Lytechinus pictus: one gene and its partners. The main gene of each other region encodes a partner of the protein of the gene in region 3 in a complex. Links are inferred from orthologs where the notes say so. Each region holds a gene or a part of one and is shown on either strand. Other genes may lie near its edges.

What was found.
Region 1: splicing factor 3B subunit 3-like (region 3) and microfibrillar-associated protein 1-like share a complex: the UniProt entries of both Drosophila melanogaster proteins name them as parts of the spliceosome B complex. The link is inferred for Lytechinus pictus from reciprocal best matches to the Drosophila melanogaster genes Sf3b3 and Mfap1.
Region 2: splicing factor 3B subunit 3-like (region 3) and splicing factor 3B subunit 6-like share a complex: the UniProt entries of both Drosophila melanogaster proteins name them as parts of the splicing factor SF3B complex. The link is inferred for Lytechinus pictus from reciprocal best matches to the Drosophila melanogaster genes Sf3b3 and Sf3b6.

What each region holds. Positions count from the first base shown.
Region 1 is NC_087250.1:22,582,818-22,591,114, reverse strand, and holds the start of microfibrillar-associated protein 1-like, read right to left. Parts: upstream 3,376-8,297; coding exon 3,365-3,375; intron 294-3,364; coding exon 1-293. UniProt on the Drosophila melanogaster protein: Required for pre-mRNA splicing.
Region 2 is NC_087245.1:7,929,742-7,937,543, forward strand, and holds the start of splicing factor 3B subunit 6-like, read right to left. Parts: upstream 3,095-7,802; 5' UTR 2,855-3,094; coding exon 2,825-2,854; intron 1-2,824. UniProt on the Drosophila melanogaster protein: Involved in pre-mRNA splicing as a component of the splicing factor SF3B complex. SF3B complex is required for 'A' complex assembly formed by the stable binding of U2 snRNP to the branchpoint sequence (BPS) in pre-mRNA.
Region 3 is NC_087246.1:63,654,842-63,663,355, forward strand, and holds the start of splicing factor 3B subunit 3-like, read right to left. Parts: upstream 3,320-8,514; 5' UTR 3,207-3,319; intron 1,492-3,206; exon of another isoform or gene 1,489-1,491; 5' UTR 1,450-1,488; coding exon 1,224-1,449; intron 105-1,223; coding exon 28-104; intron 1-27. UniProt on the Drosophila melanogaster protein: Involved in pre-mRNA splicing as a component of the splicing factor SF3B complex, a constituent of the spliceosome. SF3B complex is required for 'A' complex assembly formed by the stable binding of U2 snRNP to the branchpoint sequence (BPS) in pre-mRNA.

The DNA of each region.
Region 1 (8,297 bases), on a different chromosome or scaffold from region 3:
TCCTCCGCTCGATCTCCTCCTCATCGAGCTCCTCCTCGTCTGACGAACTCTCCTCCACCTCCATCCGATACACCTTGCTGGGCGCTGCTTCCCGGCGGTCCACTTCCCGGAAGCTCCTCGAATACACCTCAGTTTCTCTTTCCGCGACAATTTCATCGTCGGAGCTCTCCTCGCGCCGCTCGTGCAGCCTGCGACCACGGTCCTGGCTTCGATGACTGATATCGTTCTCTTCTTCCTCCTTATTGTCTTCGTCGAGAATCTCTGGACCGTGGATATGCCTGTGACGTGCAATCCTACACAGATTGAACAATATAGTTAGTTTACCGGTCATAATAGAAAAACATTTTCAGACCACTAGAGCTTTCATAAGTTCAAATTAAAGCTAAATGAACGTAGTTGCAGTAAAACACTGATTTCGTGAGAAAGTCTGTAAAACCAAGGTAATGTATTGACAGGGTTGTTGATTTTTTTGATTTTTTTAAAAAAATCAAAAAAATTTGATTTTTTTTTATTTAAATCGGATTTTTATGATTTAAATCAGATTTTTTTGATTTTTTTCCAACGAAAAATAATGGTCACACTTAACAAGTTTTAAACTATATTTAAACTGTTTTACACCAATAATAGTGGTCAAGTAGTCTTTTGAACATTGTGTATTGTACTATTTGACACAATAATCCACTTATATACAGGTAATTTTTTTTTTTTTTTTTAATTTATTTGCATTATAGAGAGGGAAATTTTATGGAAGCCCAAGTAATGTTATGTATTATGTATACATTTAAACTCTTGAAATTTTTATATCAGTCAGTTCAAAACATCCGAAGTGTTACTCCAATGCATGAAGTACTCAAAGAACTTTAGAATTTCCAACAAAATTGACATTATTAAAGGCCTGTTAGGGTTCCTATACTGCCCTTGGGAATTCTAGCTGGGAATATTTCCTAGAATTATCACATGGGGGATTTTAGCTAGGAATATTTCCTAAAACTATCACATGGGGGACTTCCCAACTATCAGCTGGTAATAGCTAATAAACAAGGGTTTTGCAGCTTTTGTGATGCATGAATAAGCATGTCTGGAAGAAAATCAGACCCCATTTGGTACTTTTTTGAGAAACTGCCATCAAAATCTGCAACTGGATGCAGAGCAAAGTGCAAACTATGTGGTTTTGAGTTGATGGGGATTGTGAAGCGGATGAAAACACACCATGAAAAGTGCAATGTACACATATGCCTTCAACTTAAGTAATTTAAAGAATGGGTATTAATAGTAACAAGAAGGAGGTACATACAAGTAGTTCAGCTGTTTTGTAATAGTATCCAAGTTGTGGACTTTGAGCACCTTTGTAGATTTTATATATTATTTTATTGAAGATTTAACAGTTTGGTGTACATACAGAGAGTTATTTATCATTACTTCGTTAGAAACTTGTTGTTTTCATCAGTTTTGCTTGTTTTACAATTTGAAAATAAAACAGTGGTGTTAAATCAGACTCCATGAGGGTGTATCATTCTTTTAAAGTATCTCTAAAGCATGTGGAACAGAAATGAAAATGATTACATTGAAAGTATCTGTTAAGAAGAAGAGAAAATAGAGAAAACTAATTTTTTTCATAAAAGTTGATTTAAATCAGTGATTTTTTTGAAAAAAATCAAGTGATTTAAATCGCGATTTAAATCATGATTTAAATCGACATGATTTAAATCAAACAACCCTGTGTATTGATATATCATCGTGGATCTAAATCTGGTACAGTTACATAAACTGAACTTTGTGAAATCATAATATCTAGCTAAAAAACGATCACACTGAAGATCGCCAACACAGATAGGCACACGTGAGACAGTGTATTATTATTGCAGGAATAAAGACCCAACGGAAGTGACCGAATCCGCGCTTATTTCTCAGCAATTACACAATTTCTTCCAGAATCCTTTGGCACATATTTAATATTCATACAAACAGACACTTTGGTGATCATTATATTAAATTCTGTAGAAAGTCATTTTGAGATCGTTCCCACAACTGGAATTTATCTTTAATCTTCCTATGCTCGTTAAATTGGCAACAATCATGAATTTCCTATTCATTATACTTCGAACATGAAATATGGAAATATGACACGAGTCTAAATCAATTATGAAGGGATACATGTATTGAAGAGTTGCCAATTTGCATTTTTAAATTGTGATTTTATCATGTTGCCAATTTTGAGTGGGTAATGATTAATTCAAAATACTTGGCTTTAATCAGGAACAGCATCACATACAGTTTCTGGAATGGTATCAATTTTTAAAGTACTCTTTCATCTTTCCAACCATATGCAATTTGTACTTGCTAGCAAGCTGGTTGAGAAAATGCAAAAGTATCTCCTAAATTAGACAAGGGTTAATCATCTTCCAATTAATCTTTTTGGCCCGAATTCACAAAGGTGGACTAAAGTTATACCCGGGGTATAAAACGCGTCATTTGACGTCATTTTAATCCATGGACTAAAGTTAGCACCTAGGGGCTAACTTTTGCGATTCACAAAGGTCGACTAAAGTTATACCGGGGTATAAAACGCGTCATTTGACGTCACGACTTAGTCAGCTCTTTGGGGTGGACTAAATCGGTGGGTTAAAGTTAGTCCACTGTTTTAACCAATCAGAGAGCAGCATTTCGATTGCGGAAAAGTTTGCTGCATGCAAGAAAAAAGTTTTTTGGACAGAGACGAGATTTGGTGTGATCGGCTTATCTAAAGCTTCATATTTCACGACTTCCACCGAGATTGTAAGTAAATTACATAATTTTTGGAGCTTAAATCATGACGGAGCCTTCAGTTCCATCTGTAACTATTATTGATAGCTTTAACTTTCCAAAAAGTATACTCGAAAACTTGAAATGGTATCTGAATCGGTCTGAATCATTGTTATCGTCGCGTCTCTAAGCTGCTCAGTCCCAGCCATGTACTTTTGTGTGCGTTCATATCTATGAGCAGTGCAGTGCAGTGCGAGACGCAATTAGCGTACACTACACAGGCAAGGTAGGCGTGATTGAAAGGCCGATACTACTACTAGTTATGCCAGGCAGTGATTTTGAGTGATTCTCGATTTCGTGTGATTTTCATGAAATTTTTGTTGTCTACGATACCCCTGCCACTTCTCCTGGCTCTGCCAACACAATCTACTGTGCATCTAATTTTGCCTAAAGCAAGGCCAAGGCAAGGCCAGGACTCCTGGCAGGATAGCAGCAATACAAATTACAATTACAAATAATTTTTTTTTAAACACTAACGTTACAAATACAGAGCCGGTATAGACATTCTACTCTGGGCTGGCTTTGCCTTGGCTTGGATAGATGGTCAAGCTATGAAGCTTACCTGGTAGCCATGTTAGAGTTAGTCCTACAACATCGTTGGAGTAAAAAAAAATATTATAATAAGGGTCACCTCTCTAGTAAGACTAAGGCTCGTTCGTAGGATGAGTGGACTAAGCCCTGATTAAATTATTTTTGGAAATTAAAAAAAAAAAAGATTGGGTTCCACTCACCGCTGTTTACTCCAACAGCTATAAATGAGCTGATTTTACTTTTACTAAAACTAAGTTTTACTGACCTTCGGCATCGCATTTGCGATCACTTATACTAGATTTACGGTGTCGTCAAAACATTACAAAATAATGGAAATCCTAGGCCTTATTAATAATTTGAGTAGATCTAACTGAGGTCTAACTTTGAAAATTCTCTCTTTTGGGGGTTATTTTCTCTACCCCACCCTCTTTGTTTCAAGTATTTTTTTTTTCACAAGGTGTCCTTTCAATGTTAAATTCACATGAGACCACAGACAAGTGCATTTGATCTTAAGTCCTCTACATTTGTAGTAGACCGATAAATAGGTTTATTTCTGTCAGAGATATGCTCCCCTGAGACTTCATGTGGCTCCGCAGCATCCCCTCCCACAAAAAAAAAATCAGAAAATGTTACAAGACTCCTCTGAAACAGCGGATTTTATCAATCTACATTTGTAGCTGCTTTATTATTTTTTTTTATACTTTGACATTGCAGTATGATTGATGAATGAATATTTTTTTCATTATTTTTTTTTCTTCCATATCAGCAACAGACCATACATACTCGGCAGATTGTGATCAATCAAGACAAGGCAAACATGGCTCACAATTTTGAACTGCTGTGCCGTCTTGCAAGAGAGTGAGGTATGCCTTATCAATTCATATTTAAAAAAAATTAAATGTCATTAAAATGGCCTTCTTAAATAAAATATTATTTCCGGGATTTGAATTCATCATGTAATTGTAAATGTATCATGTGACATGTATGTTACTTTTTCATTCTTGTCATAGTAATTGACAAAAAAGAAGAGGGGGGGGGACCTTGCTTGTGTGTTATTAACATATATATTTGTCTACTGGTCACTAGCTTTTTTTTTAAGGCTTGTTGATCTCCAATTAATCCTGACATTTTGTTGAATATTTATTTAAAAGAGAGAAAGAAAACATTGTCAGTCTGATGAATGCCGGGGGGGGGGGGGGTAGAAAAAAAGGTTTAATGAGACTTTGATGAAGATTCATGAAAATATGTTATTCGAAAATCACTCGCAAGCAATAACCTCTATTTGTGTAAACAAAGTTCCATAAAATTAGTGCCTTGCCTTCTTTATTAAAGCCAATTGAAAGTGATTCAGTTAATCAGTTTTCATAGAAGCATCTCTAAGACGTGCGTGGTTTGATCAATGATGATGATCAGCAACAATTGGCAGGTTTTTCTTCTTCACTTTTACAAGTAGGTAAATAGAAAAGCTACTCATGTCAATTAGAATTTTTATCCTATCTTTTTTTAAGGATTTCTGTATAATCTTTCACATTCTGTTCCTCATTTTAAACACTTTTGAATTAAATGAAATTCAAAGAGTAAATTGCCCATTCATGGTGACTCTTCAACACAATCTTCCAACTTCCATGCAGATTCAGCAACACATAGAAAGACCACAGCATGGATTAAGAGACAGGAAGAATCCATTTGAATACTACGAGGATGAACCTCTCAGAGTGGGGTACCAACAGAGAGAACCACACATTGCCTGTCATGTTACAGGTTTTGACAGGACTTTCTTTTATGTCATTGGTGAGTTTTCATGTGCAAACTATAAAGCAGAGGGTAATGGGGGGGGGGGGTCAAATTATGTTCTATGAAAGTGATTTTCCAGGCCAAAAATGATGAGATTTTGATAAAGAACAATTCGACTAGCAAAAACCATCAATATTGGATGGAGAATTATGAATTGATTCAGTTTTAAAGTTTTACATAACTTGGGGGAAACAGTTCTGTGTATCTCATATGCAATATTCATATCCCCACTTGTTCTCTAGTGATCTGAAATTATAATCATTAATTTTTTCCTCCAGGAATGTAAAAATGGGGTTGACTGCTGATTATATATTTAAGATAGTTATTGCGAGTTCAGAATAATGTAAGGATCAAGGATTGGAAGTATCTAGTCATGAAAATTAAGTTTCATGTTTTGCTTAGCATGCAGATTTTCCATTGAGTAATTGTCGCCAGAGCAAATATCATGGAACCCTTGTACATTCATGTGTGGAAAATGTGTGGATGTGACATCATCAGGCTATTTCTTGCATATTCATGAAAACATGCACATGTTTTACAGAAATAATTAATGCAAAACCTAATATTCATTATTAATCATCCAAATTGTACGATTTTTGTTTCTGCTTTCAGCCAGGAGTACTAGTAACCCCTTACATGGGAGGGGGAGTGTTGGGGGTATTTCACAGAAAGGTTTTTGTCGGAATGAAACACGTAACCCTTTGGGTTGGAAATAGGTGGGGATTTTATTTTTCTCTCATTTTTTACAATGTAGCAACATTTTTTAATACAAATATGTCATATTCAAGTGGGAAATTATCATGAAGGATGATTTATAACCACTCAAAAAGAAATATTGGTATGTCATTTCAGCTAGAGAGATATTCTCCATTTTGCATGGATTGTTATTGCAGTAGAGTTTTTTTTTTAATGAATCAAAGAAAAATCTCTTTAAGCAGTTCCAGTGCATCATAAACATCAGGTCATAACAGAAGCACAATGTTTGCAAACGTAAATGGTAAAGTATCAATTGGCTTTCATATCAATAAACCAATTACATAACATCACTTATCATTCGATAACTAAAGGTACCTTTTAGAAGATGCAAGCAGACAAAGCAACTATATCACAGTCATCCGTGTGCAGAATCATCAAAGATTTTTCTGAGGCAATAGCAAGGAGTAACAGTGAATAAAGTTTCCAATGACGAGAAATTCAAACCACCCAGCGACAATTTGATGATTGCTTCAGGTTTCCAAGAGTCATAGGTGCTATCGATTGGGGCCAATCCAGGCCATGTCTACATCAGGAGTCCTGATGGGGAACAAGCCCTGTACTTAGCAGGAAGAACAGGTCTTCTGTAAATGTATAGGTTGGTATACTCACTCAGTTTTCAATGTGATATTCTCTGTATTCAACACCTACTAGAGGTATGTGATAATGAAGAAAAAATATATTGGCCCCCTACTACATGTCTTTTACTGTCTTTTATCAAGTTTCAATGTTGTTGGTCAAATTTTTTTCTAATTTTATACTCTTAATATGTGAAATAAGACAATTTCAAAGATTTCACTGAAGAAAAAAAATATAGATAATCTGCTAACTTTCCTATTGCAGGAGAAATGAAAAATAGAAAAAAATGCATTTTGCTTATTCAGGTAAAGGATTTATTAATTGCTTGATCAACGAAGATATATTTCCAGAAAGAATACCGAAGAGCAAATTTTCTAATATTCATTTTGTTTTGATCCTTATTGCAGGTATCCGTTGCTCCTCTCTTTGATGAATTCCTGCCTGCATTCTGTTGTCAATAGAAAAGGACGGTGTGCTTCGGGTATTAAGCATTCCATTGGATTATCTGTGCATGAAAGTGGACACTTGTGATAAAAATATGGTAGCTTGGTTGATAGGATGTATTCATGCATTCCGATTTATCATTCGTGATCAAATGACCATCTTGCTTCTTAAATCCCAAAATCACAACATTTTTCTTGTTTGACAAAAGGTTTGGGACGTGAATTCCAGGATATAAATGACACACATGATGGGCTAATGTATAAGCAGGGACACGAGAGGTATAAGCAACATTTTTTTCGTTTAATTAAGTTTGGCATGAGATGGACTTGGTCTTTCTTATGATTCAGGTATATTTTATACCAATTTCGTTTTAATCAACAATCAATGTTTGAAGCCTCATGATTTCAATTTCAAAACCTCTTTGTTAACTAAACAGTCATTTTTCTTAGCATATGCAGCTTCTTAATTTATCAAATTTAAATTATAAAATATCATTTTTGCTGAACATCCTTTTTTTCAACCTATTTTTATAGGGCCTAAGATACATTTCTGTAGTAAGCACTATAAATACATTGCAAGCTATTATCATTTGTTTGATATTACTATTTTATAGAATCATCCTTTAATTTCTTTCAGAAATATATTTGACAAATTACTTGTGATATTCATGCTTTAGCTGTAGAGTTTAAAATCTTCATGAAATTTTTTTTAATCCATTGTTTATCTATTTTCATTCAGAGTTTCTGATGCATTGTTAAGAAAACGTAAACAGTCTATTCAATCTTCGTATCATTATGTAAAGAATTTCAATCTACCTTAAAAAGTAATGCACTAAATAAACTGCTCTGTCTACTACACATGTACATATAAGTTTTGATTTTAAAGGTCAAGTCCTCCCCAGAAAAAATTTGATTTGAATTAATAGAAAAAAATCAACAGAGCATAATGCTGAAAATTTCATCAAAATCGGTTGTAAAATAGGAATGTTATGACATTTTTAGATTTGGCTTATTTTTCACAACACAGTTATATGCACAGATCAGTGACATGCAAATAAGACAGTCAATGACGTCCTTCACTATTTCTTTTGTTTTTGTTGCTTGAATTGTACAACATTTCATTTTTTACAGATTTGACATTGAGGGCCAACTTGATTAAACCAAAATTATAGTATTAAAATAATGCAAATCCCACATGTTCGGGGAGGGGGGGGGGGAGGGGACTAATCTTGGTTTCACTTGACAATGAAGAGAAAATTTGAATAATTCATCTAGTAGAATAAAAAGAAATAGTTTGCATGCCTACTGGGATGTACATATAAGTGTGTGGTCAAGCAAAACTTTAAAAATGTCATAACTTAATATCTTTACATCAGATTTTGATGAAATTTTCAG
Region 2 (7,802 bases), on a different chromosome or scaffold from region 3:
AAGGCGCACAATTAACTACTTATATAAAACAGAAATCAATAAATACATAAAAATGAACAAACTGAGAAGAAAAAATACACAATCAGTTAAGTTGGTAGTCAAAAAATAAAAAATGGCCTTATCACACAACAGTTAAGGAAATGCTTCCCTCATGAGGTAAGTCTTCAATTTGCTGTGGAATAGCTCTCTTGACTGGCACGACTTAATGTCCGATGGGATTGAATTCCACAAACGGGGACCAGCAACGGAAAAAGATCTGTCACCCCAGGACCTTTTCACTCTAACTTGTTGGAGCTGGTGAACATTCCCTGAACGAAGACCGGGTCTACACGATCTCTTCAACTCCAGAAGATCTGATAGGTACACTGGTGTCTGGTTGGTTTTCAGTTTATAGAGATATGATGGCAATTCAACAAATACCCCCAACGTGGCCAAAGTTCTTTGACCTTACATGACCTTTGACCTTGATCATGTGACCTGAAACTCGCACAGGATGTTCAGTGATACTTGATTACTATTATGTCCAAGTTTTATGAACTAGACCAACAAACTTTAAAATTTATGGCTGTAATTCAACAAATACCCCAATTTGGCCAAAGTTCATTGACCCTGAATGACCTTTGACCTTGATCATGTGACCTGAAACTTGCACAGGATGTTCAGTAATACTTGATTACTATTATGTCCAAGTTTCATGAATCAGATCCATAAACTTTCAAAGTTATGATGGTAATTCAACAGATACCCCCAATTCGGCCAAAGTTCATTGACCCTAAATGACCTTTGACCTTGGTCATGTGACGTGAAACTCATGCAGGATGTTCAGTGATACTTGATTAACCTTATGTATAAGTTTCATGAACTAGGTCCATATATTTTCTAAGTTATGATGACATTTCAAAAACTTAACCTTAGGTTAAGATTTTGATGTTGATTCCCCCAACATGGTCTAAGTTCATTGACCCTAAATGACCTTTGACCTTGGTCATGTGACATGAAACTCAGGCAGGATGTTCAGTAATACTTGATTAACATTATGGCCAAGTTTCATGAACTAGGTCCATATACTTTCTAAGTTATGCTGTCATTTCAAAAACTTAACCTCAGGTTAAGATTTGGTGTTGACGCCGCCGCCGCCGTCGCCGCCGCCGTCGCCGCCGCCGCCGCCGTCGCCGTCGCCGCCGCCGTCGGAAAAGCGGCGCCTATAGTCTCACTCTGCTATGCAGGTGAGACAAAAATGATTATTTCACAAATACTAAAATTTATTACGTGATTATAAATAATTATTAGTATTATATTTTAACATTTGCGAAATAATTTTTTTTATCTATAGATTATTCATCAGAACGGCATCGCTACCCGGAAGTACGTCATACATAAGCTGTTCAAGGGTCGACGCTAAAAAAAAAGGAAGGTGTAAAAATTAATGAAATTCATAGAATTCAAGTGATTTTTGTTTCAAAAGATGGATTTCCGAGGGAAATCCATCTTTGTTTTGGTCCTTCTCTTCTGCGACCGGAAGTGTCAAGACGTCAATGATGAAGAAGTATATTTCATTATTTTTAAAGTCATCATCATTGCGTCCTCAAGACTAGGCCTAGGGAGTATAATGGTGGGTCCCAAGTCTGCGAACCTAACAATTTGAGTTAAGATTTAACATGAATTTCTTCTTATTTCACAAAATCTTTCAGTTAATAAAGTTCCTTATATTATCATAAGTGCACCAAATTTCTCATTAAAAAATGAAAGAAAATATAAGAAAATATAGGATTTTCTTAAAAACCTCGGCTCGGGCAGTCATTTTCAGATTGAAAAAAATGGTACCCCATGTCTGCGCACTCATTCACTTTGCACACGATTTGGGGATTTTGATGAGAAAGGCTGTATTTTGAGGCCGTCACATGAAATGCCCTAAATTCATTATTTTTCCACCATTTTGAGTCGGATATTTTCATGAATACCTGTCTATGTATTGCATGTGTAAAGTTCGTGCTCGTTCCGTATCTTCTTTAACTAGAATCGCGCAGAAACGCGTGTGCGCAGTCAAGGGAGACTGCGCCGACTTGCCATACCTATTTATTGCGAACTGGGCATGACCCATGTTGTTGTTGGCAAATATCAGCAGTGCAGAAGCTGCACCACAAAGCATGATGATAGGATTAAAAAAGGGGGCAGAGACCGCAGTGCGCGTGCGTATGTGCAGAGCTAGCTAACTTGCCCCCTTTTCGATCCCATGATACATTATGATTGCGGTTCTTATCGCTTTGAGGTAGGCCTAACTTGTCACACGGAGACGTGAAATCCGGTACTGACGTTGCGTGCAAGAAATATCGCATTATTCAGACATGACTAACTACGGAGTAGGATGGGGGGTTGGGTGTCCGGACAGTTTATATTTTTGAGGCCTTCTTTTTTGTCTTTGGATTGCACTAAAAATATGAATTCGATAGTCGTAATCATCTTCTATTTTGTTCTCTATTATATTTCCTAACATTTTGTAATAAAAATTGATGGAACTTCACTGAAAATTTTTCCAAATGACTTTCTAAAATTGATCGTCCGGACACACAACCTGTCCGGACACACAACAACTGGGTATACGGCCTACGGTAGTGTACCGTACCGGTAGGCGGTACATAAGTACCTTACTTAGCCTCACACAATTCTAACTAGCGTGTCTGAAACCGTCATTCGATTCTCCTCAGTAATTACGTTCACTTTCTCAAACGTAACTCATTCTCTAATATTCCAGAATTAGACCCTATCTATTGACCATCTTAATTCAAACAAATTACTTAAAACTGATATTAAAATTATTCCTCACATTTTGACGGCGGGCTGCTTGCATCGCCATGTTGACGTTGATGATAGCAAAGATACAGTACGGAAGCTAGATCGAGCATGCAGCTGCAGCGCACGCACGCAATATTAATATGAAAGGTAGGGACTTTTGACGACAAAGTACGCTTAACGTAGTCTGCTATGCAGACTCTGAATGGCTCGTGAAGTGGGATCTGCAGCTGGTTTGCGAAGCAAACCAGCTTGAAAGGGCGAGCGAAGCGAGCCATTTCAGAGTCTGCTTCTTCTTTGGAAATCTTGTTCCCACGGTCAAAATAAGTCCCACCCACCCAAAATTTCAGAGAGCTTTCATTGGATAACTTCATCTGTCTGTAAACCAAATTTTATGACCACTGAGGAGTATAGATAATCCCCTACTTCAACCACAGAGCCATGAGCAGGGTTATTATGTAATACCCTCGCTCAGGCCATCAGACAGTGTTTACATATGACATTCCACTGAGCAGCTGCATGTATGGCCAAAACCTTGCTCCATGGCCCAAAATAGTGGATGGTTTTATCATAGCTCTATATATATATTCAATTCAATTCAATCTTTATTTCGCAAATAGGATAAAAATACAAGGAAACATCAAATAATGTGATTAGATAATAAAAATAAATTGCGTGGCTTCCCATGAAGGTAATAAGAAACATGTGAGGCTCGCCAAAACATAGTAAAAACAAAACAACATTAATACAAAACAGAATATCATATCATTATAGTTAATAGTGAATATAAAAAGGAGAAAAAAACACGAGTTGAGGGGGGTAGATACGTTACAAGTATGCATTGATATCATGTGTGAGAATTAATAATAATTTACTAGAAAATTTGAATACTGTTTTCTAAAAGAATATATAAATTGTGAATTAGTTATTATTTGGGGAATCTCATTCCATTGTTTGGGACCTACATAACTCAGCTTCGTGACTATAGACCTAATAGACCATAAATGAAATTTATTGGAAGAACGGGTATTATGGTTATGAACTTGATTATTGCATTGAAAAATATCTGAAAACTACATGGGTAACAACTACCTCTTCTTGAACTTATAGATAAATATTGTGAGTTCTCGCTTATTAAATAAAGGTGCGGATGGTGCTATTAGAATAGGTAATTATTCTTAAACATTTCTTTTGAATATTGAGTCCAATTCATATGAGGTTACATTGGTATTGCAATATTTTAAATAAGAGAAAATCATGGAATGGTATAAAGTTATCAGATTTTTATGAAGCAAACTAAGCTTAAGTTTGTAAATTAAACCAGTATTCCTTAAAACATTTATCATATGGTACTTAAAACCCAAAATATCAAACTCAAAAACACCATTCTCATAAAATTCAGAACTGAAATATTAAATATGATAGTTTACAAAATGAAAATCTTAAATTTCACGATTGTAAGTTTGTAAACTATCATACTTTTAATCAAACAGGATAGCTATGTTTTATTTTGTTCCTGTTTGGAATTAACTTCTAACCATAGTTTCTTGATTGGACCTTGTATTTGTAGTCACTTCTCCATGCTACTGTATTCAACCTGTTTTACTGTTATGTTAGCTCAGTTTGATATTAATTAGCCCTAATTAGCCTTGTGTAAGTTGTCATGCCCAGCAACATTCGTTCACCTTTGTATTAAAAGTGTTTTTATGCCAGCCATAATGTATGTGATAATCAGGTACTTTCAAACTCAAAAGTATGCTGAATGAAAATGTTGGCAATTTTTTTATATAAACCTAAATCGGATCTATTTGATTTAAATCAGATTTTTTTAAATTTCAATCTGATTTTTTCTAACAATTTTTTTTTGACAAAGTGCAAACACCCAAAATATAACCCTTCACACTGACATCAATTTTAAAATTATGCATTTCACCACCAAAATTATTCTTAACTATTTCATAATCAAATCCAGTCAAAATATAATTTATAGAAAATATTAAAGCCATAAAGAAGCTGACATTTTCTGCTGTGTCTAAAGTACATGTAGAGAGCTTCTACTTATTGGTTCAAAGGAACTGTCTTGGTACAACTAATGCTGCAAACATGCAAAGTTGGTGCTCATTTTCAAAGCTCTTGGTATTTAATGAGGATCAGTTTATTTGGAAGAATTCCATGACTCAGAGATTCAAGTTCTCCAAAGAGATATATTTTTTAAATTTTATTTTCAGGTCAAGGATTGAAGATCATACACGTTAAAGAAAACTGCATTTATCTTTTGTTTGTTTCAACCCCAAGTTGTTCTTTGAGCCACAGTTGGAACGACTGTTTCAAAGCATTGGCTTTCAAAGCTTTGACCGACTGCATTTATTTTTGTTTGTATCAACCTTAAAGGAATGGACCGGGCTGAAAATATTCAGATCTAAATAAATAGAGTAAAATTATGAAAATTTCACCAAAATTGGATGACAAATAACAAAGTTATTGTATTTTAAAGTTTATCAATATTTTGTGAAAAGAGTTATATTTACATCGTCATGAATGTTCATTTGGTGGGTTGATGATGTCACATCCCCTCTTTCCTTTTTCTTATAACATGAAATCATAATTGTTTCATTTTTTTTATACATGTGTAAATAATGTGTCTCCATTATGATGAAATAAGTTGCGGCAATAAATAACTAATGTACTTAATTAGTTGCCAATTCAATTGTTTTTAGTTCTTGGTAAATTCCTTTTTAATAAACCTAATTTCACATAATCATAATCAAAAGAACAAGTGGAGATATGCCATCATAAGCCCAACTAACGGATATTCATGAAGACATGCCTAGAAATGTTTTACCGGAATAATCGAAAAGAAATCTTTAAAATTCAATAACTTTGTTATTTGTTATCCGATTTTGATCAAATTTCAGTATTTTACTCTGTGAATTTTACTTTATTTATTGATACATGTATCATAATTTCTCCAGCCTGGACAATTCCTTTAAGTTCTTCTTTGAGCCATAGTTGGAACTATTTGACTGTTTCAAAGCATTGGCTTGCAAAGTTTTGACAAACTTGCAAGTTGATTTAAATGATTTCGTTTACAATAAACTGGAAAACTAGTATTTTAGCAGCAGTTTTGCTAAAATAAGAAAACGGGTTCCCTTATATACTGTGTCGGCCTATTTATTTGAATACAGGAACATGTAAAGGAATAGAAATGTTAAAATATCGGTGTATTGGGTAAGCAGGGACGTTGCCGATTTTTACTTTTATTGTACTCAATTCAAAATATTCACTTAAAAATGTACAAACATAAATCATTTTGGCAAAGGGCACTAAAATGTATAGTTGTTATGATTTAGTCATGTTAGTGCCCTTTGCCAAGAACATTCATACATATTTTAAAATAAATGTACATATGTACTTAATTACTGAACCTTTTTCAGTGAACTGGCTGAATGAAGCACAATCCTACTCAGAATGTCTGAACAGGCTTTTTCTAGTATAGGATCCATGGTTATAACCCATCCTGGCAAAAATCTATCATGTTGAGATTCAGCCTAATAAGTTCAGAGTTCCTTTACTTTCTTGAAAACTGCCCTCTAAAACACTTTTGAATTTTGACATAAAGAAACAAGAAATTTGTTTTACTATTAACAAAGTCTACTCATACATACAAGTTGAGTAGGGGTCGCATATAATGTAGGCTACATGTTCATCTTTGGTTTTGCAAGATTGACTTGATATCATTGATTTGATTTCAATTGTTCTGAGTAGATATGAAGGATTTATTCCTGTTCTCATGATATAAAGTTGGTAAAATCTTTCTCTTTTTAATTCAAAAAGTAAAACTGCCACAAACAATAAAAAATCCCAAATAATTTGTACATGTTTCAATGGAAGTGATTTAAAGGAAAAGTCATGCACCCCAACAAAAAGCTGCTTTGAATAGTAAGAGAAAATCAGACAAGCATAACGCTGAAAATTTCATCAAAATCCGATCTAAAAGAAGAAAGTAATGACGTTTAAAATGTTTGCTTAATTTCACAAAACCGTGGTTATATGCAAATCCTTGTCGGTATGCAAATTAGGGCGATGACATCACTCATTTTTTTTTTGTATTTTATTATGTGAAATATGAAATATTTTTATGAAAAAAAATCATTCCTCCCTGACCATGTGGGATTACATTGTTTTAACATTTTGTAGTTCAAACAAGAGGGTCCTATTTGTTAAATTCGTAAAAATTGAAATGTTGTATAATTCAAACAGTAAAAATGCAAAAGCAATAGTGAGTGAGTGACATCATCGACTCTCTAATTTTCATATCACTGAATTGTCATTATAACTGGGGGCCGTTTCATAAAGCTGTTCACAAGTTAAGAGCGACTTAAAGAACGACTGGTGAACACTTCTTACGCGATAAACCATCGCCAATGTATATACAATTTACCACAAGAAAGGATCTCAAATCGTTCTTAAAGTCGCTCTTAACTTACGAACAGCTTTATAAAACACCCATCTGTTTTGTGAAAAATAAGCGAAACTTTAAAATGTTATCATAAACTATTTTACATCCGATTTTGATGTAGTTTCCAGCGTTATTCTTGTTTGATTTTTCTCTATGTTTATTCAATTAAACTCTTTTTTTCTGGGGTGGATATGACCTTTAAATCAATGATTTGAAAAAAATGATCACAGTGATTTAAATCGCGATTTAAATCGCGATTAAAATCAACGTGATTTAAATCAGCCAATCCTGCTGAATTAACTGAATATGAAAACAATTAGCTTTGTCAACACATGCAATGTCGATGCCAAAGATGTGAAAGTTGCATATTGGTATGCCCGGGAGCTATATGCCTTGATGCTTTACTCATTAGTGCAAACTGCTTACATGTACTATGCCCCATTGCTTTGAAGGATAATTATTTTGTTTCAAAATATTAATTTGTTGGATTTGAATTGTGGAAAGTAGGTAATTTTTTTTTTTTGTCTGTTAAATATGAGCTTACCAGTTATAT
Region 3 (8,514 bases):
TCCTAAAGTATGTAACCTATACCATACCCGTTCAAGGCAGTTTTTAGCAGCATTGTATTCAAGGATGATGATACGTCCAGAGTCTGATCCAACAACTATGAAATCTGGTCAAAGAAGAAACATACAAATGGAACAATGTTAAAATGAGACAAAGTTAAAACATGCATCAATCAGCAGTATGGATACCAACTTACTGAATTTTGAGATAATCAGCATTCTATTGAATTCTATTGACATTTAAATGAAAGTTTACAACACTGAATAGTTATCATTTTCTGACAGTTTGCATAGCAACAGTCGGACACTTACAGGTTTAAATGAAAGTTGTCAGCACTGACTAAAGTTTCAGCTCTGACTAAAGAAGTGAAATCCTTGGTACTGAAAATCAGTAGCTTTTGACTGTGACTACGATAACTGTCAAAGAATAACAAATTGTCTGGGCTGGCAGAATTCTTGAAATGACAACTAGTGCTTCTTATTCTTAATCAATTAAAACCAAAGAATGTTGTCAGAAGACAAATATCAACTAAACACCTCTAAAATCATCACACATACTTTGTTATTTTCTTTAAAACAGTTAAAACAGTTAAAAATATAATAAATGAACTAGAAGGATAACATTAAACGCTTGCATTGGTGACACCAGTGGGCCAAAACAGAAACCATTCATGACATCAAACTTTAAACAAATCTAGTATTGGGATTAATGTTACTCATTGTCAAGTCATCGATAACATAATTTGTATATAAGGTAACAAACGTTATCAATGGACCTTGGCTGAAAAGTTGGTACACTTACACACCACATTTGTTGCAAGAACCATAACTCACATAGAAAATTATCATGAGATTACATAGGAAGCACAGTTTGTAATATATTAACAGATTTAACTTGATTTTAAAATAATTCATAGAATATTCAATCACTAATAACTGAAATTTTTGTGACTGAATAACTACATGTAGGCTTAAATTAATCCAAGGTCTTGGCCTTTGATATTTTTCTACCCTTTACAATTTTCTCAATATATGCTGAAATATAAAATTGTACCCTTTCAAAAAGTGGCCTCGGTCTTAAAATATCATTTATGGCCTGGAATAGTTTCTGAAATTCAGATTGATGATATATTTACAAAAAAAGCCGCTTCACATGGCATATATTGGCAAACCAATGGTGTGACAGTCCTTGCGAAGATTGCTGATTGAACCAGTGCTATACTGACCTTTACTTCCTCCTGTTAGCCTGAAAGGCATTAATGTCCTGATGATCCCAAATATCTCATGACTCAGTACAGTGTAGAGCTTGCCAGTGTTGGGGTCTATCTTGATCAACTCCAGGAGTTTACCCCGTCCGACCACCAACTCTTGCTGCTTGGTGCCAGCAAAGTTTCCATGTATGCACTGGACGATGCCTGTGGCTCGCTGAAGAGTTAGTGCATAGAGAAACATGGTTCAGGCCTGTCCTCAGCCCACAAAGGAGATGTATATCTGCTGGGAATTAGACGGATTGATTAAAAGTCGCTCATTCTCTGAGCAAGTCTTTACAACTATATACAACTCTGTCTAACTGAAAGCAGGAAACAGATTCATGACAGCTACATAGCTGCCAACTTTGACCGAAAAAATGGGAATTACTAAAAATTTCCAAAAATGGGAACACTCTTTAAAAAACAGAAATAGGTCAAACATTGAATTTTTGCCTGTCCATAATTATCAGTTTCAGTTGCTCCAGGTTACCTGGCCCTTCCTGGTCGAGCTTTGATTCTCATAAAATTTATGAGCTGGATTCGGACCAACTGAATTCTGGGTGGAAAAAATTATATTCTTGTTGGTGTTGTTTCTTTTGTACTTTTGCAAAGCAAGTATTCAATATGGGAGATCGTCTCCCACATTGGCCATGCGCCTAGACCACACAGAAGTAGATCTACAATCATGGAGGGAGAAATAGCTCTAGGATTCTTCCATCCTGCCATATTGCATCACGAAAGCAAATTTTGGGTGTCTGAAAGCCACACTGAAAAGTGTTGGCATAAAACGGGCTGATTTTGTGGAAAGAATGGCACAATGTTGGGGGCAAATTTTAAAAATGTGATCTGAATTGATTTTCAACTCATTTAAGATGTACAGTACCCGTATGGAAAAAGAACTCAGGGGCTTCTTTTGATGCTAAAGACAAGTTTATAGGATCATTAGAAATGAGGATTGAGAGATAAATTGCAAATCCTTATTTTTGTGTGTGTCGAGATTGCCATTTCCCCATGTGTTTACTATCGGAAAATTTAATTTCTGCTTGGCACTATTTGTTTCACTTTGTCACAATTTTACAATGAGATCTGAATTTCAAATTAAAAAAAATCATTCCATCAGAGTGTCAAAATTACTACCTGACACTCTGGATGATATGGACTGAAGTTAAACAACCAAAAGATTCGCCTGCACTCTGCTGGCAGGATGTTCGCCACATGTTCGCATGATTAGGTTGCTAACTTCAGTCCATATCAACATTACGGCGCACGGCGAATCCAGGCGATCCGCGAAGTGATGTCTGAGACTGAGGAGTGAGGATTCGAACGACATCGAGATCAAAGCTGAAAATAGTGAAATACAGCCGTTCCCGATCGCAATATTTGGAAAAGAGGTGGGTATATTGACCTCGAAATGTGACTGTGAGACTTATCATGAGTGACATTTGGGAACAAGTATTGGTGATGACTCTGATGAGGTATGACGTATGCTGGTATTAATCGGCCGATGCGAAACTGCATTAGCGCCACAGTGGCTGCACGATAGCGAGCCGTCTGACTCCGAGCCGTGTACGAGGAGAAATAAAAAAAAAAAAAATGTTAAAAAACTCCTCGAAACAGACGGCTGCCAGCTGTCTACGATAAACCTTGTTGTTATGCGTTACAGCTCAACCTCAAGATCAGTCTAGTACAGGAAGGTATAGACCAGATAAGTATCATTGTCCATGCAGCGCACCTGCGCACCGTACCCGAACTCCACCGACGCTCGGCGGGGGAGCTCCCAACTAAAATTGAAAAGCCTACATGCACGCCTATCAATGCAAAACATAGACGTTAGCGTTACATTCGCCTTTCAAAACATCGTTTGAAACACTTTATCATCCACAATATTGAAACAAAAATTAATTTTTCATATTCATCGACATTCTATCTAATTATTTTCAGAAGATTGTTTATATCTACCTCTATAATTGACAAGATTAGTATGGATTGATCATACAAATCGTTCTTGGTTCGACTCTAACACCTGTAAGGAGCCATGTTGATTTCCCGCTAACGAACGTAGAGGGCCTTAATCACTGAACTGGAAATACGTATTTTCAGTTCAGTCTTTGACGAGCTCGCGAAATTCGGAGGGGCCGCCCCCCCCCCCATGCGTACGGCCATGATCTTAAAACAAATAAAAAAAATGACTTAGGCCTATCTACACTACCGTACCTACGGGGGGGCAGAGGGGGCAGACTGTACCCCCCCCTGACGAGTCACAACCCATGCAAGGGACATATCCCTGCCCCCCCCCCCCTGACGAGTCTTGAAGACTTTTTTTTTTTTTTTTTGCTTTTAACATTTTTTTCTGGTACGAAATCCTTTATTAGTGGTTGAAGACCTTTTTTTTTTTGCTTGTCAAATTTTTTGGCGGACGAGATCCTTTATTTGTGGTTGAAGACCTAGTTTTTGTTTTTTTGCTTGTCAAATTTTTTGGCGGACGAATTTGCCCCCCTGTGGAAAATCCTAGGTACGCCACTGCCTATCTACCCCACCACTCACATGACTCATGAAGCTTAAGGCACGTGGAATTATTTTTACAAGTTTTTTATTCATTATGCCAGGAATATGCAATATCCCTGATTATGCACTTGCAGAATTTAGGAAGCACAACGCCCGGCAGTACGGCGTTAAATAAATAAACCGGGAGCTCATCGAGCACGGGGAAAAAAAAATCGTTTTCAGGACAACTTATCTGATATGAAGAACAGGCATGCACCTATGAGAAAGGCAAAGGGGCACTCGTTAAGACATAAAACAGGTCCTTCACAGGTGAAAGGTGAACAGTTCTAGAACACGTTCGTGCCACTTTTCTTAGGTAAAAATTAATAGGGGCCTTGATACGAGAAAGGGCACCCCTGAGAAGGTAAAGGGGCACTTGCTAACGGCATAAAACGGATCCTTCTCAAGTGAAAGGGACACAGGACATGTTTGTTAAAGGGGCACGTTTCTTTGGTAAAAAGGGGTACTGATTCAAGAAAGGATATACAAGAAGGCAAGGGAGCAATTGCTCATGCAGATGACATAAAACATGTCCTTCTCAGGTGCTAGGGGCACAGAACACGTTCGTGAGGGGGCATTTTTTGAAGAAAAAAATGGGAACTTCTACGAGAAAGGGCACTTGGTAACACCTAAATGGGTTCTCTTCCGATAAAAGGGGCACAGTACACGTTCGTGAGGGGGCATTTTTCTTGCGTAAAAAGGGCACCTTTTCAGTGCTTCAAAAAGTGGGGGGTACTGTGCCGGCCCCCCATCCCTAATTCTCTCTTTCTGTCTCTCTCTCTCCTTTTCCTTCATTTATTTACCAGCAGAAAACTAAATACAAAGGCATACGTGCGCGTGGGTGTGCGTTTTGAGAGGGTGAGTTGATGTGTGCAGGGCGCATTGGCGGAAATCCCAGGGGGACAAGGGGACGTGCCCCTATACTTTTTGGAAAGGGGACACAATATGAACAAGAACCACAATTTGCGCTCAATGCAGTATCAGATTATTGTAAAAGATGGTATTTAAATGTGAATATAGACAAGACGATAAGTGTTATATTCTCAAAGTGAGAAAAACTGGTTCTTTTACATTTAAAGACCAGGCTCTTGAAGTAGTAGAAGACTATGTATATCTTGGAATTACCTTCAATTATAATAATTCATTTCGAAAAGCTCAAGCTAAACAACTGAATCAAGCAAGAAGAACAATATATAGCATGTTGAATAAGATTTATCATCTTGATTTACTAGTGGATATCCAAATTGAGTCATTTTGATCAACTTGTTTTACCGATACTCCTCTAAAATATGTGTTAGAAATATTGGGTTTTGATGTGATTAGAGATCTAGAAGTGTTCCACATGATCATATTTTGCAAGCAGATTCTTAAAGCTAATAAATCAACGGCAAACTGCATGGTGTTAGGCGAACTTGGAAGATTCAAATTAGAGAAATATATTGAGAATAGAATGGTAAACTTCTGGTATGGATTAGTTCACAATAGTAAAACGAAAATGTCTGGTATGATTTACGAGATTGTAAAGGTACTTTCTGATCAAGGTATATATAAGACAAGGTGGTTAACGAAGATAAAGCAAACTCTTGATAGATTGGGCATGACGAATTTACTTGACATTTCTGATTCCTCGAGCAGATATTGGGTAAAACAAGCTGCATGTAGATCTACGAATAAAGGATTCACAGTTGCAAAATTACGTACGTTAATTATAAACGAAAACTCTCAGTGTATGGTTAACTACAGAATATTCAAATCTTCGTCTAGAAAGTTACCTCATCAATATGAATAAAAAAAGAGAATCACTTTTTGTAGATTTCGTTGTGGAAATCATCGACTTCCTACTGCCTCAGGAAGATATGAAAACTTTCAAAGAAACATGAGGCTTTGTATATATTATGCAATTAACCTTCAATTGGTGATGCCGGAATTTCACTATCTATTCGTTTGTCCTTCTTTTGCTGAAGAAAGAAGAATATATTACACTGAAAGACCAAATACACTAAAAATGAAACAGCTATTTAATTATGAAAAAACAGAAATCCGCTCCAACCTTGTATAATTTTGCAAAAAAATTGTGCTTCGTTTCTAAATAAGTTATGCTCGAAATTCAATATTTTGAGCTGTTAATTGAATAGTGGTATAACAGCCAATGCTGATGCCATATTACTTGCCTTCTACAGAGTGAGTCAGAAAAAATGTCCCACTTTTGTAAAGCTGAATTGTTTAAAATATGAATATTTAATCATTAGTTTCATGATATGTCTTGATAGAGGTATCCTCCCAGTACATTCAGGTACCTTTTTCATTTGATCCCCTGCACGCATGACTGAACAGCGGACAATCTTTAGAAGACTGTCAGATCTCACTTGCGCCAAGTTACAGGGTGGGGAATAAAACACTCTTTTGAACAAAGACAGTCCGACAGACTGAAACACACACACACACACCCACACACACGTACATACACACACAAACACACACACATGCACACGCACTGGCAGACCCACTCAAACATGCACACACAAGCACACGCACACACACACAGACACACAAGCACACAATTACTGCAAACGTCGGTGAATAAAAACACAAACAATTAAAAGGGAATTTTTGTATTTGTTGAGGTAGTTTATTGTGGTTCAACAATGAAAAAGAGGCTCAAGTGACTGCTGCCAAATCAGGCAAGCCCTTTTATAGGCAAGTGCAACAAAAGCACAGACATCCATTGTAAATTTTCATTGTTAACCAACAAAAGACATAACCAGGATATTGGATTTATGTGCACTTGATGATGATGATGAAGATGAAGATCAAGATCAAGATCAAGATGATGACAATGAGGATGATGATGATGATATGATGGTGGTAGTGAATGTGTAAAGATTGTCGGGAATTGCCACTTAAACATTCAGCGATCTTGCTAAAAATCAATGCTTAATCAGAAAAGAGAAAATTATGAACCAGTTATTACCATGTGTGTTGTGTGTGTTTGTGTGTGTGTGTGAGCATGCCAGTCTGTCTGTCTGACTGTCTTTGTCTAAAGCACTGTTTTATTCATCACCCAGTAACTTGGCGCAAGTGAGATCTGACAGTCTTCTAAAGATTGTCCGATGTTCAGTCATGCGTGCACGGGATCAAATGAAAATGGTACCTGAATGTACTTGGAGGATACCTCTATCAAGACATATCATGAAACTAATGATAAAATATTCATCTTTTAAACAATTCAACTTTACAAAAGTGGGACATTTTTTCTGACTCACTCTGTATAAGACAAATGTTTATGTTAATAGACCAGTTCGTAGTTACTCATGGACAATTTTCGGTCAAATGACCTTTCATTTCTTTCATTATGATAGGCAGATTTCAAAGCAAAATATTACGTAAGCTTGCCTTACACATAGCAGGATGAGGAAATTTAATAGACCAGGTGACTAGAATAGCACACCAATGAACACTTTATGAACAGATGAAGGTATTTGTTGCATTCCTACTTTGAATGCATATCATAGCATGTTGGACAATGTACTTGGCAAACTGTGAAAACCAGTCGTTCGTGAGTGGACGCGTTGTTGTTTTTTGTGGATGTAAATGAATACCACTATTCAAAAGAATATATGAATAATCAAGACATCAAAGTGGGTGCTTATCTCATTAGATTTTAAACCACCATGTCACTTTAGTACAAATGACCTTCCTCTGATCATGCGTAGAATCTTTTGATCATGCGCAGAGAGGAACTACGAACTGGCTTATTATAATTTTAAAAAGATTTTGTACATTTGTATGACTTTTTCTCCGGCTCGGTGTAAAAATGGCCGAGGTAAAAATGGCAGAGGTAAAATGGCAAAGGTAAAAATGTCAGAGGTAAAAATGGCAAAGGTAATATTGGCAAAGGTAAAAATGGCAGAGGTAAAAATGGCAACGGTAACAATTGCAAAGGTAAAAATGGCAAAGGTAAAAATGGCAGAGGTAAAAATGGCAGAGGTAAAAATGGCAAAGGTAAAAAAGGCAGAGGTATAAATGGCAGCGGTAAAAATGCCAGAGGGAAAAATGGCTGAGGTTAAAATGACAGAGGTATAAATTGCCAGTCTTAAACCCCCATGTCAAAAATTCCAATAGCCCCTCCATGTAGAGTAGATTAAATAAGAAAGGTTCTGAGAAGAAAATAAGAATTATAATGTTGGACTAATGTAAAGGGTAACATTTTTAAATCATACTTTAAATCTTCTGCACCAAATTGATAACACTTGAGTCGGTATTTATTATTTTTCCTGGACTTACATGCACGGCCTTCTTATGTCAAATCGCTCTTCGAATATTCAATTAAATTTGAAGCACACTTTGGATCCCAAGTATTGTACTTAATTTATTAAATGGGAAATTCGCCCTGACATAAAGTTTATTGTAAAAATAGCAGAAAATAATAAAAATGATATTGGTGAGGGTTTTAGGGAATCCATCAAAGATTTAAAAAGCTATTAGAATTTTATATTTTAATGGTGACGTCATTTGCGAGCAGTTTTTCCCATATATGGTGTAATAAAAATATAACTTTCTTTAAATGAAAATGGTTTTATCCTACCTTAAGTATGTCAACATACAAATAATTTCACATCCGCTCCTGAAAGATTTTTTTTAGCAATCATGAACCACTGATTAAAAAATTGAAAAGTTTACATTTTGGTGCATAAAATACGGGGCAGCTGCTCGCATATGACAT